Linked DNA regions of Cricetulus griseus. The protein of the gene in region 7 interacts with the protein of the main gene of each other region in a pairwise test. Links are inferred from orthologs where the notes say so. Each region holds a gene or a part of one and is shown on either strand. Other genes may lie near its edges.

Region 1 (4,151 bases), on a different chromosome or scaffold from region 7:
TGATTCATTTAGGGCACAGTCTTGTGAAAACAAGCTTTGACTAAAGGTCGGCTTGGAAACCACCTAAAAGAGGGGGATAAACTGAGGCTTATGAAAAAAAAAAAAAAAAAAGAAGGGGGACTTAAGTCATGCAGTCCATGCCAGGTCTGCTTTTCATGCCAAATCCACCCTCTCTCACGCAACATTCTGTGCACTGCATGGGAGAGTTTTCATCCCAAGCTCTTTGGCATCCTGGCTTCTCTGACGGTGCCACTCTCAGCCCCACTAATTTCCCCATGACATCTAAGCTACCCTGCAGAGTCCTGCTTTCCTAGTCAGGATCATGGCAATGTTTGCCCAGCAGGGACTGCAAGGATGCTGGCCCAGTCTTCCTAAGTTCCTTACAGTACCTAAGCAGAGGGGAGAGGGCAGCATGCAGGAGGGTGGACAGTGAGGAGGCCAGGAAAGTTCTCCAGATGAGGTTCAGAAGTGTGAGAGGAAGCCTGGAGCAAGTGACTCTGCTATTGGGAACTGAGAGTCTGCTTTGCAGCAGCCGCCCTCCGGGGTGTCTGGGCCACACCATAAGGCACATGGGCGGCCACTGTGCCCATCTCCTGGGCCCCAGCCACATGGAACATCTGGTCATCAAAGAAGATGTGTGGGCGGATCTTCTCAAGAAGGGGGCCTTTGGGTGCTCCGGCTAGGAATAAGGCCTCGTCGGTCTCCAGGCCCCAGCTTCTCAGGGTCTTGAGGGCCCGGGCCCCAGAACTGGCTGCACTGCGAGCTGTCACCAAGTAAGTGCGAATCGGGCACTCCAGCCGCAGGCCTTTGGAGTAGAATTTCTTCTGCAGTCTACCCAGTGCCTCCAGAAAGCCTTTCAGGGGGCCCTGTGGAGTTAAGGAGATACTGTAAGATACCCTCTCCTAAACACTTGCCCTCTCATCCTAAAGCACAAGTGACTGGCTGTTGGGGTGGGAAATCCCTAAATCTTTTGGTAGTTTTGCTCTGCCTTTCTGGCTACAACATACAGGGTTGTAGGTACCTGTAGTCTGGAGTCTGTCTTAACGTGATTGGGGCTGTGTCTGAATAACCATAACCAGGGCAACTGTTGCTAGGCTTATCTATCCACGTCTCCTTCAGCGATCTGTCCTGTAAGTGTGGCTGTCTGTGTTCATTAGCAAAGAAGGAATTTAAACTAGCTAGTAATGATGTCATGGGAGCCTGCCAGCCAGAATGGACTCTATATGTGACTATCTGGGCCAGATGGGCTACTGAATGTGAGCCTGCCTGTGGACAGACAGACCCACATGTGGCTCAAGGTCCCTGGGGTCAGGGAAAGTGTCCACAGCAATGGAGGTACTGCCGGTATGTGAATAAAGAACTTAACGGGATAGAATGTAGCTCATTTCCAAAGCAACTGGAAACAAGGAAAATGGGCTGCTAGTCTTGGGGGGGGGTCCTAACTGGGTAACCTGGGGTAAGCAGTGTTCCTCTGGCAGCTCTCTATCAACCACTCAGGGGGAAAAGTGTCCTGCCCTGGGCACCTAGATTTCTAAAAAGCTCAAACTGGAGTTCCCAGTAGGGCTGGAGAATCCCAATGCTCCATCTACAGGGAATTTAGCTCCAAGACAGGCTCTGTTCTCAGAGAGCAATTGAGAAGTATGAGGGTAGGTGAGGCTCCCTGAGCCACTTAAGCAAGGCATGGCAAGAGGTGGCCCAAGGCCACTGGCCCAGCTCCCCACACCAGTACAATAGAGTTCTTCTTGTCTCCCAGTGAAGGAAACATGGGCTTCTGGGGGGTAGGTGCTCGCTCACAAGGGGATCTTGAGGGAAGAGCTGAGGGTTACAGGGAAAGGACAGTGGATTGGGGGTGTGACTCCGAGTTTTAGGGAGGGGTGGGGACTCAGAATGGGTGTGGGGCTTCTGAAAGGAGATGAGACCTTAGAAAGGGATTTGGAGGAACAAAGCAGGGAGGCAGGGGAGGCTTCAGAGAGATGCTTGGGGAGACTTTAGAAGCCCCAAGAGGCGGGGAAGGAGACTGCATGAGGGGTGGGACTCAGTGAAGGGGCAGAGTCATTGAAAGGACCCTGGGGCCAAGTGAGAGAGAGGTTTAGAACTCAGAAGGCAGAGGCAGGCAGATCTACTCAGAGAAGCCCTGCCTTGAAAAACCTAAGGCAGAGATGGGTGTGGGGGAGTGGGGGTTTGAGTCTTGGTAAGAGGACCTGGTGGGGATGCGGGCTTAGCCAGGGTTTGGCCCTGACCTGGGAGTTCAGGCCAGGCCAGGTTCCGGGGAATGAGGGCTACTCAGGGGTTCTGGGAATGCGCAGCACCTGTGCCAAAGGTTTGTTCTCATGGGCCTTCTCATGCTCGAAGAATCTGTCCAGCCCATGGGCCTTGACAATGCGCTCTGACTCATCAGAGAAGAGTACTGCGTCCCCATCGAAGGCCACGCGGAGCTGACTCTGGGACACAACCACGTCCCTGCTGGGGCTGAAGATGGTGGCAGCTGCAATCCCTGCACACAGAGAGGTAAGTGTTGTCTTCCAGGAGACAGGAGAAGGTATCTCATGCTGTCCTTGCTCCACCAGCTTCCCCAGGACTGAAGGCAAGCCTAACAAGGACTCATCATATTGAGGACATTTTAAAATCGGTAGTCCGTGAGTACTGGCTACAAGAACACGCAGCAGCTATAGCTTTGAGGGTACCCATCAAGGTCTAAAGGCCACCTCGTTAATATCTTCGTGGAGAGCTCTGGGGGTGTCCCTGGGCAGCAGGACACTGAAAAGCTATTTATCAGCCAGCATGAAAAAATTTGAACAATTTAACATTGATGATGATGCTGGTATGGACTAGCCAAACAACAGTCTTGGCTGGGAGCACAGGACTGCTACCACCCTGTTCTGTTTGGAGTTCTTCACCCCAGACGGACCTGCAGCAGACAGGGAAGCACACCTTGAGACGCAGCCACTCCTTCGCTATTGGTTCCAAGTTATATACTTTCTCTGGGCCAAGGTAAAATTAGGGTTCTTTCAGGTCTGTATGAGGCTGAGCCCTCAGGCTGCAGTAGAGATGGGTGGGTGTGGACACCCTGTCTTCAGCCACCCAGCACCCAGGTACACTGCTGTCACATTGGTTCAGACTGTGAGATAATGTGCTCGGTCCTGGGAGACAATATAAGCTACTTGTGATACTATGTATAGACTTTCTGCAACCACTGTTCTACTGCAATGCAAGGACACCAGTCAGGGACCAAGACTCCAGATTAAAATCAGCTGAATCCCCCTCAATAGTTATCATCTCTCTACAGGACTCTTCTACCCTGCTCCTTGGGAATCTAGGATCACCGAGGTAGACTTCCACAGAGCTCTGGCAAGAGCTATCAGTACAGGTCTGACAGCAGCTTCACTAGCCTAAGGATGCCCAGGGTAGGACTACATCCTGAGTATCAGGCTATGTACCTTCTCAACTCTGTCAACCTAATGCCAAGATGACCCAGAAGCACCCTGTTCTGAGCAGGAAATCCATCTAACCACACTCCCAAGACCAAAAGTCAAATTCCACATGCACAGAGGCACACCTGCAGGTTAGTTAGTTCCCAAACCCCAAACAAAGGGTGTGATGTGTTTAAGGAAATGCCCTCTGGGTCCTGATTAGAGAAAGCCTCACCTACAGAGGGACTACAAGGAAAGGAAAAGAGGGCAGTTAACAGAGGAAACCTGAGTGTCCAGCCTGAGTACACATCCAGGCAAATGGGCAGTCAGTCTTCCCTCCTCTGTGGGCTCCTGTTGGGAGGACTGAGACCATGTCTGTCACCCCAAACTGCCCCTTGAAAGGGGAACAGAGAATGGACTTTTCATTATCAAGAGTCCCCTAATCTCACCATAGCACTGGCCAGCCCAGCTGTGGAAGATGACCATTTCTGAAAGCCTACCACTCAGGCTGGGCTAAATATGGACCTTCCCTCTTTCTCATTGGCCCAGTGATGGATAGAAGTTTCCTGATCACATAGGAATCAGAACTCCCATCAGCCCAGAGGAATCTTGGAAAACAGTAGCATTCTGGGCTGTAACGCAAGTTTCTATGGAAACAGAGGGCTAGGTGATGCTGATGAATGTACACTGTGGGGCAGGAGATGGGAAGGAGGATTAGGTAGGGCTTTGTTTTCACTTTAC
Region 2 (4,164 bases), on a different chromosome or scaffold from region 7:
AAAATGTAGCTAGGTATTGTATATGTCTGCAATCCCAGCACTTGGGAGGTGAAGGCAGGAGGACCATGAATTCAAGGCTGGACTTACCAACACAGTGAGCTCTGGACCAGGCTAGGCTACATGAGACCTTGACACAAAGAGAGCAAAAAGCAAAAAAAAAAAAAAACAAAACAAAACAAAACAAAACAACAACAACAAAACAACCACAACAAATAAAAGAAAAACCCAGCCCAACTAACAAAACACAAGAAACATAACACAGAGCTGAGGAGTCTTGGACACCTTATGATTTCTAATGGTCAAACCTGGTTAAAAGAGAGCCAAACTAAATAAAAACAAGTCTGCTTTCTATTTCAAATAAATGTATGAACAATTGCATTTGAACATCCCAGTGAGTTTCACCCAACAGCCCATATAGGACTTGTAGCAGAAATCCAATACTAACCCAGCAAGGCACTCATCTGGAGTAGCCGTGCTCACCAGCAAAGAATCGTGCTGCACTGAGATAACAAGGAAGAGTAGCCTTACTTACTTTCAAAACCTACTCCCTCCATCCAGAAATGTCTCCTTTATTTACATGACAACACCTTCTGAACAAAGACGCTTATTCTACTAGTGTTCTCAGAGCTGCTGAAACTTGGCCAGGACTGACAAAATCCTGCAATATTCAAACCTAGCTCCATTCTTCTCCAAAGTCCCAGAAACCTCCATATATTAAACTCTACAAAGGGAGCTGTGGATGTAGCTCAGTAGTTGAGTCTTCCTGCCTAGCATGCACAAGGACCTGGGATCCATCCTCAATACTGAGAACAAACAAACAAAGGCAAAGTGACCTTTATATGTTTAACTAAGCTGATCTCAATCCCCCTATGCAGCCAAGGATGCTTTTGAATCCCTGCTTCTCTTGATTCTTCCAAGCAAGTGCTGGGATTGTAGTGTATGCTACAACATCCTGTTTTGATATAGTACAAGGGACCAAATCCAGGGCTTCATGCATGTTTGGCAAGCAACTCTGCCAACTGAGCTATATCCCCAACCCCAAAGGAACATTCTTAGCCTGAGTTGTCTACACAGTAATAACATCTGCCATCTGCTCCTCCTATTATCATCCAAGGTGTGTAACTGGAGTTTACCACCTAGAAAAGGTCACATGTGAAGCACACAGCCTTTAGAAAAAGATTATCTTTGCCATCGATATTAGCCTGACTCTTAGCTGGGTCTGGTCCCACAGATACCTGTAATTCTAATACTTGGGAGTAGGGGCAGGGGTCTGAGAGTGTGAGGCCTGCCGGAGGCTACACATGAATTCACCACGCTCCTAGATACTATAGACAAACCCAGTCTCAGAAAACCAAAATAAAACAACAACAAAAAATGTCCCCAACTTCACAAAATCTCGATTGACTTAAAGTCGTCAAGATTTTCTTTCTTCTGGAAACATCAAAGTTTTAGATTTGACATTTCTGTCTATGATCCATTTAATTAATTTTTTGTAAATATGGAGAATGGTGTGTGTGTATTTTTTTTCTGTAAACTTTTGGAACCCTAACCTTGCCAAACATAAAATGTAGAATTGTTATCTTTCACTGTGCACTGCATAGTTGGTTACCTGGGTTAAACAGAATGAGGAAAAGAAATTGGTCTCCCTTGGGACAAGGAGTACCCCAGTCCACTTTTGGAGGAGGGCTACTGCCTGCCTGGTTGCACTGAATACTGGTGACCACCTCTTGCTCACGTGTGAAATGGGTGGAATTTTTCCCAAACTAGGGTCTGGCGGCTGGCTGTAAGCAGTTGAGCTCCATAAACACAAAGAAGCTATTAGTTCGCGACATTTGATGCAGTAAAGTTAAAGGAAGCCCAGGGGCGCCCAACACGTGCGTCCTGCGTTCACAGGCTCTTTCCAACTCTCACACAAACCCACCCTTCTGGATAAGGCAGTGCTCAACACACAGGCTGCTCGGGAAAGTCACCTGAGCAGCTGGCAGCACTCTGATCGCCGGCGGCTGGAAGTTCGAAAGTTCCCCAGGTAAACCCAGTGCCCCGGACCTGTGCAGAAGTTTTTCGACCAAGCTCAAGTCTGGGGCTTCGCCTGACAGAGTCGGAAACTGGGGCGGGCGGATCCACAGATGTCTCCCTGCCCCCACCATTCCCGGCACCGATGTGATGCCCACAGGCTGCGCCCACTCTTTCAGACACGCTGTGACTGCACCGATGTCGCCCTTCCGGACTGAGTACACCAGGCGCAAAAGAGGGGCTTGGGGTGCCTAGGGGGTCGACAGGTCGCCGAAGTCAGGGTGCTGGAGGCCGGGCCACCAGAGGGACAACAGCGCGCAGAGACTCCAGGGTGACGGGGGGGGGGGGTTCCCTTGCTGGACTTCTTTCTCCCTGGGCGCAGCCGCGGTGGCTCTGAAGCCGCCGCGTTGCTGCTGTCCCGCCCCGGAAGGGTGAGCGCAGCGCCCTCGGAGGTGGCCCGGGCATGCGATGGCTCCTGCCTCAGCCCCGATGTGACTCCCACCTGGTCTCCTGGTTGCTGAACTTCTTGGTAACCACCTTGCCCAGCTCCAGGCCCAGGCGATCGGCCACGCGCTGCGACAGGTCCTGGTGAGAGCTGCCGCTGAAGAGCACGATGTTGGGCATGGTGATGTGCGGGGATTGAGGGGCACGCTGCAAAAGAGAAAGCGACAGCGACGCAGACTGCTGCTACTGCTGCTACTGCCTCTGGCGCTGGCGCTGCTGTTGCTGCGGCGGTGCCCGCGGTTGCTGGTGGAGCGGGAAAACGCGGCGGCGGGACCTAGGGGAGGGGAGGAGCTGGGGGAGGAGCCAGAGAGAGAGAGAGGAGGAGGAGGAGGAGCAGCGGACTAGTTGCTGGAGGGTGTTGGGAAGCGGCTTCTGCCCACGCAGGCTGGGCAGCAGGTTGTGAAGTTCTGGGTGGCCCAGAATTACCCAGGTGCGATTGTTTTGGAGGGGAACGCGATGTACTTCACTTTACCTCTCTGACTTGCTTTCAAGTGGGGACATCAACGAATCAGATGGAGTGGGCACAGAGAACGAGCGATTGCGGCAAGGGGCCATAGGGGTGTCTCGCCTTTCAACCCGGAAGCTCAGAACCCAGAGGTTATACTTAGGGTTCAAGTGCACCCAGCGTCCATGTGGGAGAGACCCACACAGCGGCCTGAATTTGCACCTGAGAGTGAAGCGTGTTTCACTTTGTGTGACGGTGTACACTACCTTTGAAGCTGGACTAGGCAAAAGAGTTTCCCACCAACGAGAATTCCCTTTCTCATTAATTTAGACGTGTATTTTGAAAAATTATCTCAAATACTACTTTGTTTTCGATTTTCCATTAATAGCTGAAAATTCGTTTTCTTCCATATTATATAAATGCCTACGCAAAATCTTCTGTTTTGCCTCTTGGTCCACGAAGCCTGAAAATTTTAGCGTCTGGTTCCTAATAGTTAAGTGTGTTGCTCCTTGAAGGAACCATTAATGTGAGCCACCATTTGAGCCCTAAGCTCAAGTGCAAGGGGGGAAAACCTGTTTTCAGGTGGCCCATTGACTCCACCCAATGGGCTTGGAGTCCTCATTTTATGTAGATAGGCTGGTGCTCTGGCTCCCTTCACAACACTCTGTCTCTTGGGCTCTATTAATGTCTACAGAGAATTGACTTGTCATCCACAGCCAAGGCCATTTGCAGCTGAATTGTAGCCCACTCTAAAGGTACTTCCTGTGTTACTGTGATTAGGGAGATTGTTCATATCCTTGGATATTTAAAATCTGGATCCTTTCTAGTACTTTGCAAATTGGATGTAAACCATAGTGATGCAGACCTTTAATCTCAGCATTCTGGAGGCAGATACAGGTGGATCTCTGTGAGTTCAAGGCCAGTCTGCTCTGTTTGTCAAAACCCAAGCAAACTGGATTTATAAAAGTGTTTCTTTTGAAACTCCAATGACCTGCTTACCTGCCCCTTTTCATTCTGTTTACAAAGGTGTGTATCTCCTATTGCACTTTTTAAGCCAAGGTGATGATGTAAGTAAGCTCATCAATTGGGAGTTTAAGATGCCGATCAAAAATCCCAGGCCAGCCTGTGGTACCTAGTGAGACATTGTCTCAAAAACAACTGAAGCAGCAACAATCTACCTACTGTGGGTTTTAAGCTACACC
Region 3 (4,060 bases), on a different chromosome or scaffold from region 7:
AGAATTATCCTCTTCCTGCTTTTCAACACCAGCTGCTTACTTAAGTGACCTAGAGATGACTGCTGACTAAGCCTGGCTGGCCATGAAAAATCTCCAGACAGCAGTGACCTCTTCCTTCCATATTCTTCTGCCTTCCAAGATCCAGGTCCCACAGCACAGGAAGTAGGCCTGAAAGGACCAGAACAAACCCAAGACTCCTCAAACACCTTTTCTCCTTGACTGCTAAGCTGGCGCTGGGAGCTAGGGACAAAGTCATGCCAGGGGTAGATGGATCTTTCTAATCTTTCTATGGCATGGCAGTAATGAAGGCTTTGTGTCAGCTTGCTAGATTAAGAAACACCCAGGGCATTAGCAAGGCACACATCCTTGATGTGTCTGTGGGGACTTTATGGGGAAGGACTAACAGAGGGGAGGCCCATACTTAATGTGGCTAGTGCTTGAAGGGACCAGCTTCCCTTTTGGCAGCCATAATGACCAAACACGTGCTCTATGACCTTGTCTTAGTCACTAGAAAGTCAGATGCCTGCCTCGTGACAAGGAAACAATCAGAAGTTAGTCACTAGAAAGTCAGATGCCTGCCTCGTGACAAGGAGCCAATCAGAAGTTAGCTGATAGCGCTATGCTTTATGACCCTGGGTGTGCTTTATGGACAAGCGCACAGCAATGACGCACAAAGCATAGCAACCACCCTGGGAGGGCCTATGGGCCATAACAGCCAGTTGACCAATCAACACAGGGCAAACCCTCCAAGCCTGGAGGCACACCAATCCTGAGCCTGTGCATACCCCTAAACACTCCCCTTATGCTGCCCTATAAAGATCTGTATGCAGCAGCTTCAAACTGTCTTTGCTAGCCATCTGCCATGGTGGGTGGGTCAAAGACCCGAGCTAACATGGTGTTAGCTCGTTAAACTACAATAAAGCCTCATGCAATTTGCATCTAGCTTTCGCCTCCATTCTGTGATTGGGGTGGCCGAGGTCCTGGGCTAAGATTCTGGAAGCCTCAGCTTTCCAAGGGTCTTACAGTGCTCATGAACTAGCATCCTGGACTGAGAAAAACATGGATCTGCAGTGATGTGAGGCAGCGGCCCCACCCCATAGCTTCCACTTCACAACAGATTTACCCCTCAACCAAGATCCAAAATAAAGACTTCCTCCCTTAACTTGCTTCTTGCCAGGTATTTGGTCACAACAATGTGAACAGCAAGTAATACACCTACTTTCAAATCTTATTCCCAGCCCCATTCCCACTCCCACATCTGGGCTGGTATCTCCTGTCTGCCCCTAACATGTGGGCTAATAAAGGTACCAAAGGAACCACGGCCACCCTCATGCACAGATGTGTAGTTTATGTGTCAGGGATCAGACCTAGCAAGGTTCCTTGTTCTTCTATAGGATGCCCAGGACATAGTTGCCTAATAATCTGGCTTAGCTATCATGAGCTGAAAGAGATGTAACTGTGGCTGCTTACTACAATGCTGTAAGGAAAAAAAATACCCAGGTGGTTCTCTTGTCCTGTGTTTCTGTCTCCTTCTCACCATATTTGCTGAGCTCATTATAATTACACTAATAGAGAACACCAGCCAGAGATCCATCCTCTTTGTACATACCTCCTGAGACCAAACTTTTAGGGAAATTACCTGTGCCTTGGATCCCTCCATCCTACATTTCTCCTCCACTGGTTGCATGACCCTGGTCTTCCAATGAGCTCTTGGGTAACACTGGAGAAAGCAAGGCCACCCCTTTGTGACATAGCAACAGAAGGAACACTCAAGTAAAAGGGGGTCCCACTGAGAAAGTTGCTGTGTGCAGGAGATCTGGAGACCACAAGCTATAAGTGTTTTAATCATTCACTGGCTTCAAAAGAAACAAGTGAACATTCATCCCCAGTAAACCATCTTTGGCCCATGGCAGGGCTTAATCCTCTTGACCATTGCAAGTGGGCTCCATTCTGGGGTTTCAGCTCCTGTGTTCATTCTTATGCATCTGGATTCAAGGTTGACTCTAGTTCTCTACAGATGTCCTGAGTGGTTATACACTACCATGCAATGAAGGGTCTCCTTTGGGAAGGTTAGACTTTTGTCATAGTATCAACAAATCTTGAAAGGCTAGTGCTGGAGGACCTGACCATCCAACTCAGTCTCCTCATTCAAGGCCAGAGGACCCCAAGGTTCAGAGAATCCATGTGTCCTCCTCAAGACAAATGGGCAGGAAAACAACACCAACATGACAAGAATCTGAGTGGCTGACTTCGCTGTTCATTCTGTAAGGCTTGGAAACAGGGTTATTCTAGCAAGTTACATTCTTCCATGATTGTCCCTACCTGAGGTAGAACCACATTGATTGGAATTTCTAGGCTTTCAGATCTGGTATCTCTCTTTCTTGTAAAAATTGGCCTCGAGTGCTGTGAAAAAGAAAGAATCAGATTTCTCCTTCTCAACCCATCCTCAGGGCCTCAGTGGCTCACCTGAAACACATAACCTCTTTCTACACATTTATGTCCTTCTGACTAATTTTATACCTTATAAAAATCACAGTCTCAAGGCATGTGTACATGGCGCCTGGCCAGAAGTCTTACTGCTCAGTGATCAGGAACTGATCGACACTGATCACTGAACAAAAAACCAAGACAGGAATGAACTGATATGAAGCCCTCTTACAAGAAGAAATCATTGCAGCTCTTCCTGGTTTTACACTACGATTTCTATATAAGTAAAAAGCCATACCAATGTGAGGTGCCAGGTATAGGTCCTATGCATAAGCTGGTCACCAAAACACTCAGAACATTCCAGAGGTGACATCACAGAACAATATGGTGTTTTTCTGAGCTCATGGTTTCTCTCCGGGCATCTCAGGTGGGAACGAGGCTTCTGCAGGAAGGAAGAATTGCTGCTGGCTGTGCTCAGGTGGCCAGCCCGGGTCAGTGTGACACACAATAGCCCTTGTTTGGTCAGCTGGCTGCCACTCACACCTCACTGCCAGGCTGGCTTGAACCTCTCTACCTCCCATCAGAGGTGGCATCTGTTTCAATCACATTAATTAGGAAAAGAGAAACATTAACTGTCTAGACCTGGAGAGACTTGGCACTACTGAGGAACTCCAGTCCAGTTCCACTCTGATAATAGCTACATGTCAGGTTCCGAGAAGTTAGGGGCTCGGCCCTAAAAGATGATCTTTTACTTCAAGTACCAATCCCATATCAGGGCCACCTGTACTTGTAACTGGTTAGCCATGCAGGGGTTACCCTAAGCTGCTCCTCAGGTTCAATAGCTGTCTCTCAGAACACAGGAGAGTAATTTACTTAGGATCACAACTTTAAGAAGCATGCAGCTCAGGAGGGGCCAAATGGTAATGATAAAGGGTGAGCTGTTTGACAGGGTAGTGTCGTAAACCTTCTGGCCTTCTCTGGACACACCTGCCTCCCAGCATCTTCAATGTCTGAACCCAGTTGTTTAGAGGTATTTGTGGAGTTCCATTATGTAGGCAAATTTTATCAAATCATTAGCCTTTGATCACTTAACTAAATGTCAAATCCTTCCAGAGGTAGACGTTTGCTGAAAATTCCAACCTTCTAATCACCTGATTGGTTCCTCTGACAATCACCCCCCACCCCCAAAGTCATTCCCCTAGCATAAACTGATGTGTTTCAAAGGAGGTCCTGTCAGGAAATCCCAAGGGTTTAAGAAACACTGTTCTGATAGAAAAATACAACCAAACATATCACATGTAGAACCTGCATTAAGGCCAGAACACTCATCCCTCCATCCTTAGCTCTGTCAAATCTGTCACCTCCAGATCCATTTAAGAGCCCCAGTTCTGTGTGATTTTGCCCCTTGGGGTAGGAAGAGAGTAGGTTTCCGGGGTTTCCTCAATGAAACCCATGTTCCTGGGGTCTGGATCAGTCCCATGCTGGTAACCCAGCTATCAGTCTGGGGAGCAAGAGTTCCCCCATGTTCAGATCAGTTGTTTCTGTGGGTTTCCAGCCTGGTCTGGACCCCTTTGCTCTTCACTCGTCCTTTTCTGCATCTGGATTCCAGTTCAGTTCAATGATTAGTTGTGGG
Region 4 (3,500 bases), on a different chromosome or scaffold from region 7:
TTGTTTTTTTTCTATTCTGTATTCCCTCTAGAGCAGTGGTTCTCAACCTTTCTAATGCTGCCACCCTTTAATACAGTTCCTCATGTTGTGGTGAGCTCCCTGATCATAAAATTACGTTGTTGCTACTTTCATAACTAATTTTGCCACTGTTACGAATCATAATGTAAATATCTGATATGGGAAGGGCCCTTTGACCCCAAAGGGGTTGTGACCCACAGGTTGAGAACCATTGCTCTAGAGTAACTACCCGTCTTGGTTTCCCTAAACCTGAAGAATTTCCAGGTTGTGAGGCATTAATGTTAACTCTAAATAAGAGAGTTTTGGAGTGACTTCACTGTGGACCAGAAATTGTTCCTATTTTACATTCCTGCATTTTCCCACAGGTCGCTTTGACAGAGAGGTAGATATTGGAATCCCTGATGCTACAGGACGCTTGGAAATTCTTCAGATCCATACCAAGAACATGAAACTGGCAGATGATGTGGACTTGGAACAGGTGGAGTGGTGATGATGGCTGGCCAAAACCTTGGGTAGCTCTGTTTTTAGGAAGTTGCAAGGGACTACTAACATAGTCTAAGATAAGAGTTCATATCAGTAATCCCAGAATTTGGGGAGGGTGAGGCAGAGGCAGGAGGATCTTGAGTTTGAGGTCAGTGTGGGCTACCCAGCAAGAGTCTATCTTTTCATTTTTTTTTTTTTTTAGAGCTGCATGGAGCTTATTTTGATTTCAGGGTAGAAAATGTGTTTCTTAATTGTTGCTCTGTTAAGAGTAATTCATACATTGTTGAACAGCTTTATTTCTAGCTCCCAAATCCAGGCTTAAGTATTTAATACTTGCCACTAAAAGGTCTGCTGTAGTATATATCTCTTTAAGGAAATAAAAGGAATCAGAGATAGGAATCGGGGTGGACTCAGGATTCTGTTTCTGACTTCTTAAGGAAGTGGTTTCTTGAGGATAGTCAGTAGATCTTTTCTCTGCAGGTAGCCAATGAGACTCATGGCCATGTAGGTGCTGATTTGGCAGCCCTGTGTTCAGAGGCTGCTCTGCAGGCCATCCGGAAAAAAATGGACCTTATTGATCTTGAGGATGAGACCATTGATGCAGAGGTCATGAATTCCTTGGCAGTTACTATGGATGATTTCCGGGTAAGGACTATATCCACAAATAGTTATTTTGTTGTATGCACCCCCCACCCTCCATCTCATTCCCCTTTTTCAAACACCCTTTTTAGTGGGCCTTGAGTCAAAGCAACCCATCAGCACTTCGGGAAACTGTGGTAGAGGTGCCACAAGTAACCTGGGAAGACATTGGAGGCTTGGAAGATGTCAAACGGGAGCTTCAGGAACTGGTTCAGGTAGGCCAATTTGCTCTAGGGTGGTGGGTCATTGCCTCAATGTATAGTAATTGGCCGTTTAGGTCTCAGACTCAAATCTACTTAGAATTGTGACTATAATTCAGAAGCCTGCTCTTACTGAGTTTTAGGTAGTAAGGAGCCTATTTAAAAACTAGCACCATAGACCATAGGATGTGCCACAAAGTAGATGATATGCTTCTGATTTTTTTAAAAGATTTTATTTATTTATTATGTTTGCCTGCATGCCAGCAGAGGGCACCAGATATCATTCAAGGTGGTTGTGAGCCACCAGATAGTTGCTGAGAATTGAACTCAGGACCTCTGGAAGAACAGTCAATGCTCTTAACTGCTGAGCCACCTCTCCAGCCCTATGCTTCTGATTAATAACGATTTTATTTAAAATATTGAGAGGTTGCCCTTAAATCATCTTTGCTTTCTTCTAGTATCCTGTGGAGCATCCAGACAAATTCCTCAAATTTGGAATGACCCCTTCCAAAGGTGTTCTCTTCTATGGACCTCCTGGTTGTGGGAAGACCTTGCTGGCCAAAGCCATTGCTAATGAATGCCAGGCTAACTTCATCTCTATCAAGGGTCCTGAGCTGCTCACCATGTGGTTTGGGGAATCTGAGGCCAATGTCAGGGAAATTTTTGACAAGGTGAGTTTTCAGAGGCTGGCTGTTCATATGTTTGGGGGCAAGGTAAGATAGGAGGCTATTTCTTCATAGTCAAAACTATTTTATTACTGGCAGCTCAGTGATTGCTTTCTTCTGAAGTTTGAGAGATTAATTAATATTTGAGTTGATCTCTTTCTTTCTCCCAGGCACGGCAAGCTGCCCCCTGTGTACTATTCTTTGATGAGTTAGATTCAATTGCCAAGGCTCGTGGTGGTAATATTGGAGATGGTGGTGGAGCTGCTGACCGAGTCATCAATCAGATCCTGACAGAAATGGATGGCATGTCCACAAAAAAGAATGTGTTTATCATTGGAGCTACCAACCGGCCTGACATCATTGATCCTGCTATCCTAAGACCTGGCCGTCTTGATCAGCTCATCTATATCCCACTTCCTGATGAGAAGTCCCGTGTTGCCATCCTGAAGGCTAACCTGCGCAAGTCTCCAGTTGCCAAGGCATGTGCAAAGTTGTCAGCCATGAAGCCTTTTTTTCTATCCTGGATAGGATGCCATTGGGGATTTGTAGGTTTTCTAAAGGCAATATGAGAGATTTGTGAATATTAGGATAATTTAAGAGATACAGAATAAAATGGGGTGGCAGAGCCAAGAGTAGCTCAAAGATCTATGTGTCCCATGGGAGGCAGTTAACGATGCTAAACTAAGTAGCTTTTTTGCTTCCTTTAGGATGTGGATTTGGAGTTCCTGGCTAAGATGACAAATGGCTTTTCTGGAGCTGATCTGACAGAGATTTGCCAACGTGCTTGTAAACTGGCCATTCGTGAATCTATTGAGAGTGAGATTAGGCGAGAACGAGAGAGGCAGACAAATCCATCAGCTATGGTGAGTCAGTATCTTTGTTCAAATGTGCCATTCTAGGGACCATCCTCCATGACCCAGAGTTGAGAGTAGAAGGTATTAGGAGGGTCCCTTTACTGAGATGTTAAGCAGGGAATCCTAGAAAATGAATAAACAGCTAAGCTGGGTGTGGTGCAGGCATATTCCAGCTCTCGGTGAATGCAGCAAGATGAGAAATAAAGGGCCCTACATGAGACTTTTAGAGATAAAGGGTTGGGTTGGGTAAGCTTGATGCCTTGAGGGAAATGAAAGTATGATTGTGCAACAGAACAGAACAGGGTTTTTTATTTATTTAATTTTATTTTTATATGCACTGGTGTTTTGCCTGCATGTATATGTGTGTGAGGGTGTCTGATTCCCTGGAACTGGAGGTATGGACAGTTGTGATCTGTCATATGGGTGCTGGAATTGAGCCTGGGTCCTCTGGAAGAGCAGCCAGTTCTCTTAACTGCTGAGGCATCTCTCGAACCCTCTGGAAAAGGATTTTTAAACTGAAGTCTGGACTTCAGCATCCTGGTGGGGAAGGGAATTCTTGTACTCTCAAAATAGAAAAATTAAGTATAAGAATGTAAAAACTATGAAATTTACAATTCTGTCTCTACTGTAGTTCCACTGTT
Region 5 (4,273 bases), on a different chromosome or scaffold from region 7:
ATGGTTATAGAGCACCTACTGTTATTGCAGAGAACCAGAGTTCGATCCCCAGCACCCACATCAGATTACTCACAACTGTTTGTAACTCTTGCTCCTGGGGATCTGACACCTCTCTATCTTTGTTTGGGTCTCTATTGCTGTGAAGGGACACCATGACCACTTTAACTCTTAAAAAGGAAAAGATTTAATTAAGGTGGTGTCTTATAGTTCAGAGATTCAGTCCATTATCTTCAAGGCAGGGAACATGGTAGTGTACAGGCAGACTTGGTGCTGGCTACACCTTGATCTGAAGGCAACAGGAAGTTGACAGGTAGTGGGGGGTATCCTGAGCATAGGAAACCTCAAAGCCCACCTCCATAGTGACACCCTTTCTCTAATCACTCCAACAAAGCCATATCTCCTAATAGTGCTATGAGCTTATGGGGGGGGTTGACCACCTCAAACATAGACATACACATGAACACATAAACAATCACAAATAATACCAGATGAGACGCCTTTAATCCTAGTACACAGGGGACATAGACAGGTGGATCTCTAAGAGTTAGAGATCAGCTGGGTCTACATAGTGAGACCTTGCCTCGAAAAAACAAAACAAAACAATAATAATTAAAAAAAAATCCTCTTACATCTCTGTGAGTTTGAGGCCAGCCTGGTCTACAGAGCAAGTTCCAGGACAACCTCCAAAGCAAATACAGAGAGACCCTGTCTCGAAAAAGAAAACAAAAGACGTATAGGAGGAGAAAGCTTTGTGGGGCGTTGGTGGTTTAATCCCAGCACTCGGGAGGTAGAGGCAGGAGGATCTCTGTGAGTTCGAGGCCAGCCTGGTCTACAGAGTGAGTGCCAGGATAGCCTCCAAAGCTACAGAGAAACTCTGTCTCAGGAAACCAAAAAATCCTCTTACAACAATAAAAAAATTCTTCTACTGAGTTTCCTACCATCCAAGGCTACTATAATTCTCCGCTCTCTAATAATAGGCTTGCTCCTTTATCACTAAACTTCATGTAGGTCTATTTGATTTTCACTTCTGCAGCGATTTCTCAACCTTATTTTTCTTCCCTGCTCTGATCTTTCTTCACAGCACTTACATAACTCCGTGCGTTCACTATCAATTTCTTTTCATTGTTTGTCCCAATTTTCAACCCTCCCAGAAACCTCAAGTGAGTTTACTGCTTTATCCCTGGGTTCTAGAACAGTGCCTGCTGGGCACATAGTATTTAGTACATTTGCTGCTTGACAGGGCGAAGAGAAGCGGAGTGACTGGGGCTTTAGTTCTATTCCGTGCAGTGTGAGCGCCACCTCCCGGGCAACCAAATCGTCTCGGGAACGGAGGAAGTGAGTTACACGACAGTAGGGGCAGGAACAAAAGATGGCCGCCAGCCGGAAAAGCCGGGGAGGGGGCGGGGGGATACACACGACAAAAACAAAAACCACACCCAGTGCCGGAAGTTAAACCCTGGAAAGAGTGCCCTCCTACTCACCGGAGGAAGCGGGGACTGGCGGTGTTCCACCAAAAGGGCTCTCCTGAATCAGAACTGTTCCGAAAGGTTCCGTGCGAGCCGCTGCTCGAAACCACGTGAGGCCAGGACGTGTTTCCGGTGCAGCCGGAGAGAGAGACTGGCTTCTGAAGGGGTGAGAGGGGTTCGGGTGCTGAGGGAAAGGGAACGTTGAGGGCCTAGGTAAGCGGAGAGGGAGGTGGGTGTGAAATGAAGGGAAAGGGGTGCATTCTCTGAGAGGCGTTGAGGAAGATCGCGGCCTCGACTGTGGACAGGTGCAGACCTGTCAGCCTGACACGTGGGCTCGCCTTTGTCTGTGGCCGCAGTTCCTGTCAGACTGCGCCGGCACGGCTGTGCCTTACCCTCCTTCCAGCCCTGTGCTGAGCGCAGAGCTTGCTGAATAAATGACACGTGTGTGTGTGCGTGTGTGTGTCTGTGTGTCTGTGTGTGTGTGTCTGTGTCTGTGTGTCTGTGTTCGGTGTGCAGAGCCTTTCATAGGGGCTGTTTCTGAGGGATCTATTCTTGTTCCACATTCCTTCAGAGATTCTCCAGCTTGTCTGCGGGTTCTGTCTGTCTTCGGAAGGCATGATTGGCCTTTTAAAGCATCTTCTTTGCTCCTATTGACTGCCAGGCCCTGTGGCTTGGAATCAAAGCAGGGGCTGGAGTAGATCAACTCTTTTATGCAGGTCACAGATCCGAGAGGCGGGAGAGGGGAGGAAGGCACCAACAGAAATGATCATTAAAAGATTATGTATTATTGTATGTTCCTGTGCATGCATGCCTTAGCACACTTGTGAACACACCAGAAGACAACTTCGTGGAATGGGCCCGAGGGACCAAACTCAGGTTTGTGGTACAAAAACCTTTGCTCACTGAACCATCTAGCTGGGTCAGGCCCCATTCTTTATTTTATTTTATTTATTTTTACTTTTGGCTTTTAGAGACAGGGTTTCTCTGTGGCTTTGGAGGCTGTCCTGGAACTAGCTCTTGTAGACCAGGCTGGTCTCTAACTCACAGATCTGCCTGCCTCTGCCTCCCGAAACCTGGGATTAAAGGCATTCGCCACCACCGCCCGTCGCAGGCCCCATTCTTAATGTATAAAATCAGAGGTTAATTCATGTTTAGGCAGCCAGGTCCAGGAGCTGGTGTTTCTATCCTCTTAGGTATTGTCTTTCAAGGTGGAGTCTTCTTTCATTTTGTGGGATTGTGTTCCCTGGAAATGGAAGGTTCTGGAATGGATGCTCTCCAGGTGTCTTCCCTCAGTGATGATGAATTGTGCTGTGGGTCTCCCATAAGCCACTGTTCATTGACTACTCATTGCACTTTCCCCCAGTACACAGTTTAATAAATGTTAATTGCTATTCTTACTAATGGACCTTCAATTTTCTTGTCCTTTTATTCTCTGACAGTTTTATACATGTATGTAATAGTTAGTCATCCCCCTCCTCCATTACAATCTTTGGCTCTCCTGTTCCTGTTGAACTCCTTTCCTGTGAGTCCCCTCCTACCTTCATGTCTTTGTGTGTGTGTGTGTGTGTGTGTGTTGGGGGGGAGACTGAGTTTAATTAGAATTGCGTGCTTCATTGATGGAGGAGTTAATTGCTGGAGCAGCTTACCCATGGCTGTATCCCTGAAGAAAATGATACCCACTCACCCACAGCCGTTAATCACCGTTAGCTTCCTAGGCAGGGGTAAGGCCTTGGGCCTATGAGTCCCTCCCCTTCTGTGATGGAGCATAGTCATTGCATCTTTTCTCTCTTTTCTCTTGTTTCTTGAAACAGAGTCTTATGTAGCTCAGTTCAGGTTGGGATCATTGACATGGGCTACCACACCTCCCCACTACGCTCAGCTCTATTTTCTTTTCATTCCCCTTTTTTCTTTTTTGAGTCAGGGTTTTAGGTTGCCCAGGCCAGCCTGGAATCCTCTGCCCTTTGGCCTTAGCCTTCCTAGTGGTAGGATTATTGGCACACATCCTCAGTCATTACATCTTAGGGAGTATCCCAAACTGTATAGGGCTGGGAAATCTTATTCTTTGTAGAATGAAGATTGTTGGTTTTTTTTTTTTATTTTTTATTTATTATGTATACAACATTCTGCTTCCATGTATATCTGCACACCAGAAGAGGAAACCAGATCTCATAACGGGTGGTTGTGAGCCACCATGTGGTTGCTGGGAATTGAACTCAGGACCTCTGGAAGAACAGTCAGTGCTCTTAACCTCTGAGCCATCTCTCCAGCCCCCAAAGGTGGTTGTTATGACATAGTCTCTAAAACTCTTGTGGGTTCTAATGCTGTTGGTCATACTGTGTTGAATCAGATGTAACTTTCAGTAGGAAAACCATATCATTGCATTTTCCCCTTACTGGTATTACCACAAGAAAAAAAAAATTGGTATCTTTTTAGTGTGTCTTAGTTTTATGTCTCCCTTTTTAGTTCTATCACAGTATTAAGTACATAACAGAAGCTCAATAGGAGTGTATGAAATCAAGTAGATTAGAAATTACATTTCTTCTTTTGAACCCTTTTCTACTTTCAGATCAAAATTCATTGATGAGTGAACTGGGCAGGGATTGGGATTTTACTAGAGAGACTTAAAGTAGACATAATATATTAAATCCAGTTTTATGAGAGAGTAATCCGCTTGAGAAGGATCATGATGAGGGAGGGTAGAGATTCTGTCCTGTTTCATTCCCTGCTTATCTCTCCAGGACCATGGCCAACAGTGAGCGCACCTTCATTGCTATCAAGCCTGATGGGGTCCAGCGGGGTCTGGTGGG
Region 6 (3,500 bases), on a different chromosome or scaffold from region 7:
TTTGCGCTGGGGACCTGATAAAGGCAACAGCTTAGAGAGGGAAGCAGGAGAGGAAATGAGGCCTCTGGGGTGGAACTGGCTGCACGGAGACCCTTAGACCTTCAGAAGTGATGTTTATTGCTCTTTCATCTAGGGCCCAGTCAGTGCTGCTCCTGGCAGCCTGGCACATTTAGCTCTGGCTCGAAGTTTGCAGACCTACCTGCCTGCCTCCCTTTGGTTTTCAATCTAGTGTCTGTGGTGTTGGGTAATGGGGACATGAGCCACCTGGTCATTGTCTGTCTCACCTGCATTCCACTCTGCCCCATCAAGGGTGTTAATACCTCAGGGTCAGGGAGGGAAGGTGAAGCCCCATATAGGCAGTCCTCTGGAGGTGACCCTGGCATTGTGGTAGCAGGTAGGTCTTTGTAGCAAATTGATCCTTATAGATTATGGGAGGTGAGGCTGGCTGGCTTTGGTTATTGCTAACTAGCCCTGTAGTCAGCTAGATATAAAACCTCTGGATAGAACTGACCCCGTGTAACCTTCCTCTCGAACCCAGGTTTCCCCAGCCCTCTCCTGAGTCCAGTGTGCTCTCACTTGATCAGGCCAGGCTGTAGAGCAGCCATCAACAGAGACTCACTTGGGTGGGGTTCAGCGTCTGTCCCTCTCTCCCTTCCATAATCCTCATTGCAGTCTAAGGAGATGTTGGGATGTCCAGTGGGGATGTTGGAGAGGTCTTGTTTATTTATCTGCACTGCTGAAGAGTGTACAGTCCTTGAACCTGCTTGACAAGTGTCTTACGCCTGAGCTGTATCCTCAGCTCTCTTTCTTTTACTTGACACAGGACCTCACTAAGTTACCCATATTGGCCTTAAACTCACCCTGTAGCCTAGGCAGGCCTTGAACTTGTGATCCTCTGGCCTCGCCTCTCCAGTGGCTGGGATTCCAGGTCTGCAGCAGTACACCTATCTTCTTTTTATAGATGAGGCTCAGAGGTCCCACAGCTTGCTCCTGGCAATCTAACTAGTAAGCTCTGTGCTGGAACTACCTCAGGCACTAGCAGAGTTCAGTGCCAGTGGCTTAAGCCTCAGCTGTTGGTCAGGGAGGCCCCACAAACCAAACTCCAGCACTGCTCAGGCCTGGACCCTGGTGGCATGTCCAGCTTCTGACTCAGGTACCTCCTATAGGTAGTGCTGGCCATGCCCTACGACACACCTGTGCCTGGCTATCGAAACAACGTTGTCAACACTATGCGCCTCTGGTCGGCCAAAGCACCTAATGACTTCAACCTCAAGGACTGTGAGTCCCTCTGCCGGTAGCTGGCAGCCTTGGTTAGCCCTGCCTGGCCCATGCCCATATCCCTAGCCTCACCCCAATCCACTTTGTCCCTCAGTCAACGTTGGTGGCTACATCCAAGCTGTGCTGGACCGAAACCTGGCTGAGAACATCTCACGCGTCTTGTATCCCAATGATAATGTGCGTTGCCCTTCAGTTTGGAGGCTGGAAACCCAAGTTCTTGGAGAGGGACAGGGGAGCTGGGCGTGGGGACCTTTGCAACTGTCCTAGTCCCACTGTATTGCTGTCCCTATGTGTCCTATCAGATCCTTTGAATCCCAAGGAGGGGGTGGGGTATGATATTTCCTGGGAGCTGTCTCCCTGGGGACCCTCACAGGACTCCTAGTTCATCTATGTCTTTCTGATACTATCTGCTACAGTTATTTGGTGGGGCAAAGGCTCCAGGGTCCAGAAGATGGGAGCAGTTTAGGGCTCTGGGACTTAGTGTGGTAGGGGCTCTCCTGGTCACACCCACAGCAACTTAGGGCTCCACACCCTGCCACCCCAACTACCCTCTGCCTTGTACCTCCCTTAGTTTTTTGAAGGGAAGGAGCTTCGGCTGAAGCAGGAGTACTTTGTGGTGGCCGCCACCCTCCAGGACATCATCCGGCGCTTCAAGTCCTCCAAGTTTGGCAGCCGTGATCCTGTGCGCACAAACTTTGATGCCTTCCCCGATAAGGTAGCCTGCTGGCCCGAAGGCTTCTGTCTCCCCATCTCTTAAGTCCCATGGCCTCCTCCTTCCACAGATGTGTGGAAGCTGGACGTGTGTGGGGGAATGGCTTGCTCAGTATCTTCAGGCACCAGGCAGACCACTGCAGCTTTCCTTCTCAGTCAGCTGCACCCTACTCCAGCTGTCACCAGGCCTGCTCCCAGACCAGCCACATAACTACATTGGGCCTTTTAGGGGCTCTGAAGGGGCAAGGAGCATTCACAATGGTGCTTGCTCTGGGATCCATCCTGACGTCCCACTCATCCCCACAGGTGGCCATCCAGCTCAATGACACCCACCCCTCTTTGGCTATCCCTGAGCTGATGAGGATTCTGGTGGACCTGGAGCGGATGGATTGGGACAAGGTAGATTTCATTCAATTTACCCTTACAGGTGCCACTTTGCCTCCAGGGTCTCCTTCCCAGTGTGAGGTGGAAGGACAGTAGGGGGCCAAACAAGGAGAATCGACCAGAAGGCTGGTTGAAACCCAGCTGGGCTCTGGCGGGAGTTGGGGGTGGGGGTGGAGGTGGGGACACGCCGGACACGACACAGGACGACGACACGCGGACGCACAAGCTACACGGCGCGTGAAGAACGTGTCTTGACTTCTTTCCTTGTATGCCAGGCCTGGGATGTGACAGTGAAGACCTGTGCCTACACCAACCATACAGTGCTGCCGGAAGCCCTGGAGCGCTGGCCCGTGCACCTCATGGAGACACTGTTGCCCCGGCACCTGCAGATCATTTACGAGATCAACCAGCGCTTCCTTAATGTGAGCTGGGCCGGTGTGGCAGTGGGTCCCTTGAAGTCAGGAGGCGTATGGGCTGAGCCTGTGGGGGGAAGGGGGGTCTGGAGACTAAGGTTCCTGGGTCAGGATCCTGGTCTTAGCTCTGGGCTCTTTTGGGGATACAGAGGGTGGCGGCCGCATTCCCTGGGGATGTAGACAGGCTGCGGCGCATGTCACTCGTGGAGGAGGGCTCAGTGAAGCGTATCAACATGGCACACCTGTGCATTGCTGGCTCCCACGCAGTCAACGGTGTGGCTCGCATCCATTCGGAGATCCTCAAGAAAACCATGTGAGCCTCTCCACAAGCCCCGCCCACACCACTCTTCCGCATGTGGACCCTGCCGTTTCACATGGCATCAAACAGGGCCTCCTGGGCTGATCCCTCCCCTGAGTGCATCAGTTCTAGCCTTTCACTCTGTGGTCACGCAGGGCAGGCCTAGCGGCAAGCATCCATAACGCTGAGCCGTCTCCCCACCTCAGGGGTGACCCATTCTTAGAACACACTAGCCCCTTTCTGGTACAACCCTGTTCCAGAATCTGCCCCAGGTCTGCACCTGCATCCTAGCCCCTCTCAGGAAAAAAATAAGTAAATAAAGTAGGGGGCCAGGTGGGAGGGCTCTGCAGAGGTGAATGGTGACCCTCACTCAACCCCAATCTGCAGCTTCAAGGACTTTTATGAGCTGGAGCCTC
Region 7 (4,203 bases):
ATTCAAGCTGAAGCCGAAGCAATAAATTGGTAACAGACACAAACACATGTTTATTTTATTTTAAGGACTTATGGGTTTTGGAAGGCAGCTACATTCACCAATATACCACCAGCACAGCACTTTATGGGTTTTGGAACTGAGGTTGAGAGTCTGTGGGTGGCCTAGGCCTATAAACCAATCTTAAGAAGTACAGTTTCTTTCTCTGTCTCTCTCACTCTCTCTTTGTAGGTAAGTTCCCTGAGCAGTTACACATGTTCATTACAAACACAGGCAACTAGGAAATCTAAAGAGACGGTTCTCTATGTCCTTCAATCACTGTGCATAAACACTGTTTTGACAATGTTGGTGTCTTTCCTTCTGCAAATAAATACAATTAATACAGAATGCTACCCAGACTCTTTAATTTTTTTTTCTTTTGAGAAAAATTCTTATGTAGTTCAGGCTGGCTTTGTATTCAAAGCCATCCTCACACCTCAGTCTCCCGCATGCAGGGATTACCCAGCACCACACCTGGCTAGAACTTGTGCACTCACTAGATCAGTCTATCTTTCTATATATAAACACATGCATATATAAGTACTCGAAAATTGAAAGAAATTAAACAACAATATGGTGAGATTTGGGTGCAACCCCTCGGTTAGTTTTTTTTTTTTTCCTCTTTCTAGGTTCCTGCTCTGAAACTTCAGCTTTCAAACCCAAGCATCTCTTTCTTTCTATATAAAAGGTTGCATATATAAATAGCCAAAATTGAAAGAAATTAAACAACATTGTGGTGAGATTTGGGTGCAACCCCTCGGTTAGTAGTTTTTTTTCCTGCTCTGAAACTTCAGCTTTCATGCCCAAGCATCTCTTTCTTCCTATATAAAAGGTTGCACAGATAAATACCCCAAAGTGGAAGAAATTAAACAACACTATGGTGGGATTTGGGTGCAACCCCTCGGCTAGTTTTTTCCTGCTGTGAAACTTCAGCGTTCACGCCCAAGCATCTCTTATTTTAGAGCGGGCTGGCAGCCTCAGCGATGGATGAAGGGGGTCAGGAAGCTCACACCTGACCGTCCAACACCACCAGGCCTCCCACCCCCCACCCGATGGCGACCAGGTCCACGCAGCGCAGCGCGAGCGCCCCAGCTTGGCCGGGGGAGGCCTCTCCGTGGACCCCACCCTGCCTCCCACCTCGTAAAGCCGGGCGAGCAGCACACAGATCTATCTCCTCCGCAGCCTGGGACTCGCCGCCCGCAGCAGCAGCTCCCGCAGCCCCGCCCCGCCCCCAGCCCGGGCTCCACCCACTCCAGAGACCCCGCCCACCCGGAACCACGCACACACACAAACACCGGGCTCCGCCCCCATGGCGCGCTGAGCCCCGCCCACCGGCTCTAAGCCCTTCCCCCCGGAAACGGCGCCTGGCGGGCGGTCCGGGCCGTGTGCGCTCCGCCCGGGGCGAGTGTGTGCTGTGCCGCCGCTGCCGCCGCTGCCGCCGGCGGGTCGGGTGCCTGTCCCTCGGGCCTCCATGGAGGGCGACGGCCCCGTCGCCTCGGTCCCGCAGTACCAGCCGGCCTGCCCTGCGCGGGACGCGTGTGTCTACAGCAGCTGCTACTGGTGAGCGCGCGGGCGCGGGCGCGGGCGCGGGGCCCCCGGGGCGCCGCCAAATGCTTCCCCGTCCCGGCGCTCTCCGGAGCGCTGCGGGCCCGCACCGTCCGCGGGAGGAGGGGGCGAGCGCACCCCTGCTCCCCGGAGCTGAGCGGAGGCGTCCCCAGTGCCTGGGGACAGACTGAGGTCCCCGTGGTTTCAGATCCAAGTGCAGGGCGTTTTTCATCTTGAAGACAACGGAGACCCAGAGTTTGTTTTTTGGTTTTTTTTTTTTTTGCAGATTTTTTATTTGAATTAGAAACAAGATTGTTTTACATGTCAATCCCAGTTCCTTCTCCCTCCCCTCCTCCCCTACCACCCCCCCAACTAAAACCCTACTTATCACATATCCTTTTTTCTGTTCTTCCCCTGACTCAACTTTTCTGCTCCCTCATGACCTCTGCATCCCTCCTCTTCTTCCCTTCTCATTCTCATAGCTCCTTTCCCTCCTTTTCCCATGCTCTCAATTTGCTCAGGGGATCTTGACTCTTTCCCCTTCTCCAGGGGACAATGAATGTCTCTCTTAGGGTTCTCCTCGTTTCCTAGCTTCTCTGGCAGTGTGGATTGTAGGCTGGTAATCCTTTACTCTATGTCTAAAATCCACATATGAGTGAGTACATACCACGTTTGTCGTTTTGTGATTGGGTTACCTCACTCAGAATGGTTGGACAGAGGGTTCTTTTTTAAATTTTTAATGTTAATCATTTTTTTATTTGAATTAGAAACAAGATTGTTTTACATGACAATCCCAGTTCCCTTCTCCCTCCCTTCCCCCCCACTACCCCCAACTAAAACCCTACCTATCACATGTCCTTTCTTCTATTCTTCCCCTGACTCAACCTTTCTGCTCCCTCATGACCTCTGCATCCTTCCTTTTCTTCCCTTCTCTTTCTCGTAGCTCCCCCCCCCTTCCCATGTTCTCAATTTACTCAGGGGATCATGACCCTTTCCCCTTCTCCAGGGGACCATGTATGTGACCCAGAGTTTGAGGTGGCGGGAAATCCAGTCAGGCAGCAGACAGCGCTGTCCTGATCATCACAGCACTGTGGTGATCATGGTGGTGGTAATGGTTGCATTTGCACCGTCCTCGTCCTTGTCCTCACCAGATGCCAAGCGTGATCTTAGGTGCTTTGTGTAAATGGACTTGGTTGAACGCCACAGCAACCCCCAAGAGGCAGGTACTGTTGCAGTCAGAACCTTGAGGGGGCTGGAGAGATGGCGCATTGGCTAAGAGCACTGGCTGCTCTTCCAGAGGACCCGGTTCAGTTCCCAGCACCCACGTGGCAGCTCACACCTGTCTGTAATTCCAGTTCCAGGGGCTCTGATGCCAGTGTGCATAAAATAAAGTTAAATATATTATTTTAAAATTAAAAAAAAAAGAACTCTGAGGCGCACAAGGTACGGGATGGCTGTTACTCAGGGCCTCAGGTTGTGAGGCTACTTGTCCTAGGCTGCCGCTCGCCGCTCACCTTGGCTTTTTCATCTCCACACCTTTTCTCTTGTGTAGGGACTTCTTCCCCAACCCAGGAGAAACCTCAGGGTCATCCAAATCTACTCCTCCCCCCTTCACCCGGCCACTCAATCAATGACACTACGAACTTAACGTTTATTCATCTGTCACCTTGGTAGCCCAAGTCCAAGTGCCCCGAGTGGTTCTCAGCCTTCCTAATGCTGCCACCGTTTGGTACATTTCCTGATGCTGTGGTGACCCCCAACCATAAAAGTATTCCGTTGCTACTGTAATTTTGCTACTGTTACGAATCATAATGTAAATATCTGATAGACGACCCCAAGGGCTCGTGACCCACAGGCAATGCCTTGGAGACAGGTTCTATGATCATTATCACCAGGACAAGTTGAGGGATCATCTGTGAGCTTGAAAAACCTGTCCATCTTAGGGTTTTACCCGGAGTGTGGATGTACAGGAAGTAGAGTGGGGGGTGGGAGGGTTAGAAGGATGCTTTGCTCGTCTCTCATTTCATTTATTTGTTTGTTCATTTATTTATTTATAATGTGTATGGGTGTTTTGCCTGTGTATCTGCCCATGCACTGAATGTATAACTGGTATCCAAGGAGGCTAGTGGGCTGAGTCTTTGGGAGGAGCAGCCAGTGCTCTTAACTGCTGAGTCATCTCTCCAAACTGCCCCCCCCCCCACCCCCAAGACAGGATCTCACTGTCTGTCCTAAAGCTTGCTACGTAAACCAGGCTGGCCACCAACTCACAGAGCTATGCCCACCCCCACCTCCTGAGTGCCGGGATTAAAGGCCTGGGCTACCATGCCAGGCTTGCTGATCCTATTTTGTGGGATACTCTTAGAGATAGGGAACAAAGTCCATCTGAGTATCAGTGGCTGTCTGGTTTATTTGTTCAAGGCCTGTGTTTTTCCAACCTCATTTTGAACTTACCTTCTCTGGCCTGTTGCAGGGTTCTCAGCTTTGGCTCTGTTGGCATTTTGAGTATCAAGCCTTTGTTCCATGAGTTTTAGGGTAGGTAATTACGTTTCCTGGCCTGTATCAGACAGATGCTATTGCCAGGTTCCCACACCCCCCAAGTTGTGACAGGTAAACACTTCTCTA

What was found.
Region 1: the proteins of protein N-terminal glutamine amidohydrolase (region 7) and Nt5c1a interact in binary tests that used the Homo sapiens proteins (3 or more experiments, as listed by UniProt). The two-hybrid records come from large-scale screens. The link is inferred for Cricetulus griseus from reciprocal best matches to the Homo sapiens genes NTAQ1 and NT5C1A.
Region 2: the proteins of protein N-terminal glutamine amidohydrolase (region 7) and Prps2 interact in binary tests that used the Homo sapiens proteins (3 or more experiments, as listed by UniProt). The two-hybrid records come from large-scale screens. The link is inferred for Cricetulus griseus from reciprocal best matches to the Homo sapiens genes NTAQ1 and PRPS2.
Region 3: the proteins of protein N-terminal glutamine amidohydrolase (region 7) and Cby2 interact in binary tests that used the Homo sapiens proteins (3 or more experiments, as listed by UniProt). The two-hybrid records come from large-scale screens. The link is inferred for Cricetulus griseus from reciprocal best matches to the Homo sapiens genes NTAQ1 and CBY2.
Region 4: the proteins of protein N-terminal glutamine amidohydrolase (region 7) and Vcp interact in binary tests that used the Homo sapiens proteins (3 or more experiments, as listed by UniProt). The two-hybrid records come from large-scale screens. The link is inferred for Cricetulus griseus from reciprocal best matches to the Homo sapiens genes NTAQ1 and VCP.
Region 5: the proteins of protein N-terminal glutamine amidohydrolase (region 7) and nucleoside diphosphate kinase A interact in binary tests that used the Homo sapiens proteins (3 or more experiments, as listed by UniProt). The two-hybrid records come from large-scale screens. The link is inferred for Cricetulus griseus from reciprocal best matches to the Homo sapiens genes NTAQ1 and NME1.
Region 6: the proteins of protein N-terminal glutamine amidohydrolase (region 7) and Pygm interact in binary tests that used the Homo sapiens proteins (3 or more experiments, as listed by UniProt). The two-hybrid records come from large-scale screens. The link is inferred for Cricetulus griseus from reciprocal best matches to the Homo sapiens genes NTAQ1 and PYGM.

What each region holds. Positions count from the first base shown.
Region 1 is NC_048595.1:29,783,641-29,787,791, forward strand, and holds the end of Nt5c1a (cytosolic 5'-nucleotidase 1A), read right to left. Parts: intron 2,495-4,151; coding exon 2,310-2,494; intron 867-2,309; coding exon 501-866; downstream 1-500.
Region 2 is NC_048604.1:102,122,873-102,127,036, forward strand, and holds the start of Prps2 (ribose-phosphate pyrophosphokinase 2), read right to left. Parts: upstream 2,801-4,164; 5' UTR 2,638-2,800; coding exon 2,516-2,637; intron 2,280-2,515; exon of another isoform or gene 2,148-2,279; coding exon of another isoform or gene 2,047-2,147; exon of another isoform or gene 1,971-2,046; intron 1-1,970. UniProt on the Homo sapiens protein: Catalyzes the synthesis of phosphoribosylpyrophosphate (PRPP) that is essential for nucleotide synthesis.
Region 3 is NW_023276807.1:229,960,913-229,964,972, forward strand, and holds the start of Cby2 (protein chibby homolog 2), read right to left. Parts: upstream 2,801-4,060; coding exon 2,726-2,800; intron 2,404-2,725; coding exon 2,323-2,403; intron 1,688-2,322; coding exon of another isoform or gene 1,640-1,687; intron 1-1,639.
Region 4 is NC_048595.1:100,551,592-100,555,091, forward strand, and holds part of Vcp (transitional endoplasmic reticulum ATPase), read left to right. Parts: intron 1-383; coding exon 384-496; intron 497-981; coding exon 982-1,146; intron 1,147-1,232; coding exon 1,233-1,355; intron 1,356-1,798; coding exon 1,799-2,011; intron 2,012-2,175; coding exon 2,176-2,484; intron 2,485-2,712; coding exon 2,713-2,868; intron 2,869-3,500. UniProt on the Homo sapiens protein: Necessary for the fragmentation of Golgi stacks during mitosis and for their reassembly after mitosis. Involved in the formation of the transitional endoplasmic reticulum (tER).
Region 5 is NC_048600.1:106,879,626-106,883,898, reverse strand, and holds the start of nucleoside diphosphate kinase A, read left to right. Parts: upstream 1-1,473; 5' UTR 1,474-1,632; intron 1,633-2,282; exon of another isoform or gene 2,283-2,342; intron 2,343-4,201; exon of another isoform or gene 4,202-4,204; 5' UTR 4,205-4,208; coding exon 4,209-4,273. UniProt on the Homo sapiens protein: Major role in the synthesis of nucleoside triphosphates other than ATP. The ATP gamma phosphate is transferred to the NDP beta phosphate via a ping-pong mechanism, using a phosphorylated active-site intermediate.
Region 6 is NC_048596.1:52,966,922-52,970,421, reverse strand, and holds part of Pygm (glycogen phosphorylase, muscle form), read left to right. Parts: intron 1-1,166; coding exon 1,167-1,278; intron 1,279-1,372; coding exon 1,373-1,455; intron 1,456-1,849; coding exon 1,850-1,993; intron 1,994-2,295; coding exon 2,296-2,388; intron 2,389-2,648; coding exon 2,649-2,795; intron 2,796-2,935; coding exon 2,936-3,099; intron 3,100-3,471; coding exon 3,472-3,500. UniProt on the Homo sapiens protein: Allosteric enzyme that catalyzes the rate-limiting step in glycogen catabolism, the phosphorolytic cleavage of glycogen to produce glucose-1-phosphate, and plays a central role in maintaining cellular and organismal glucose homeostasis.
Region 7 is NC_048603.1:29,486,347-29,490,549, reverse strand, and holds the start of protein N-terminal glutamine amidohydrolase, read left to right. Parts: upstream 1-1,403; 5' UTR 1,404-1,507; coding exon 1,508-1,596; intron 1,597-4,203. UniProt on the Homo sapiens protein: Mediates the side-chain deamidation of N-terminal glutamine residues to glutamate, an important step in N-end rule pathway of protein degradation.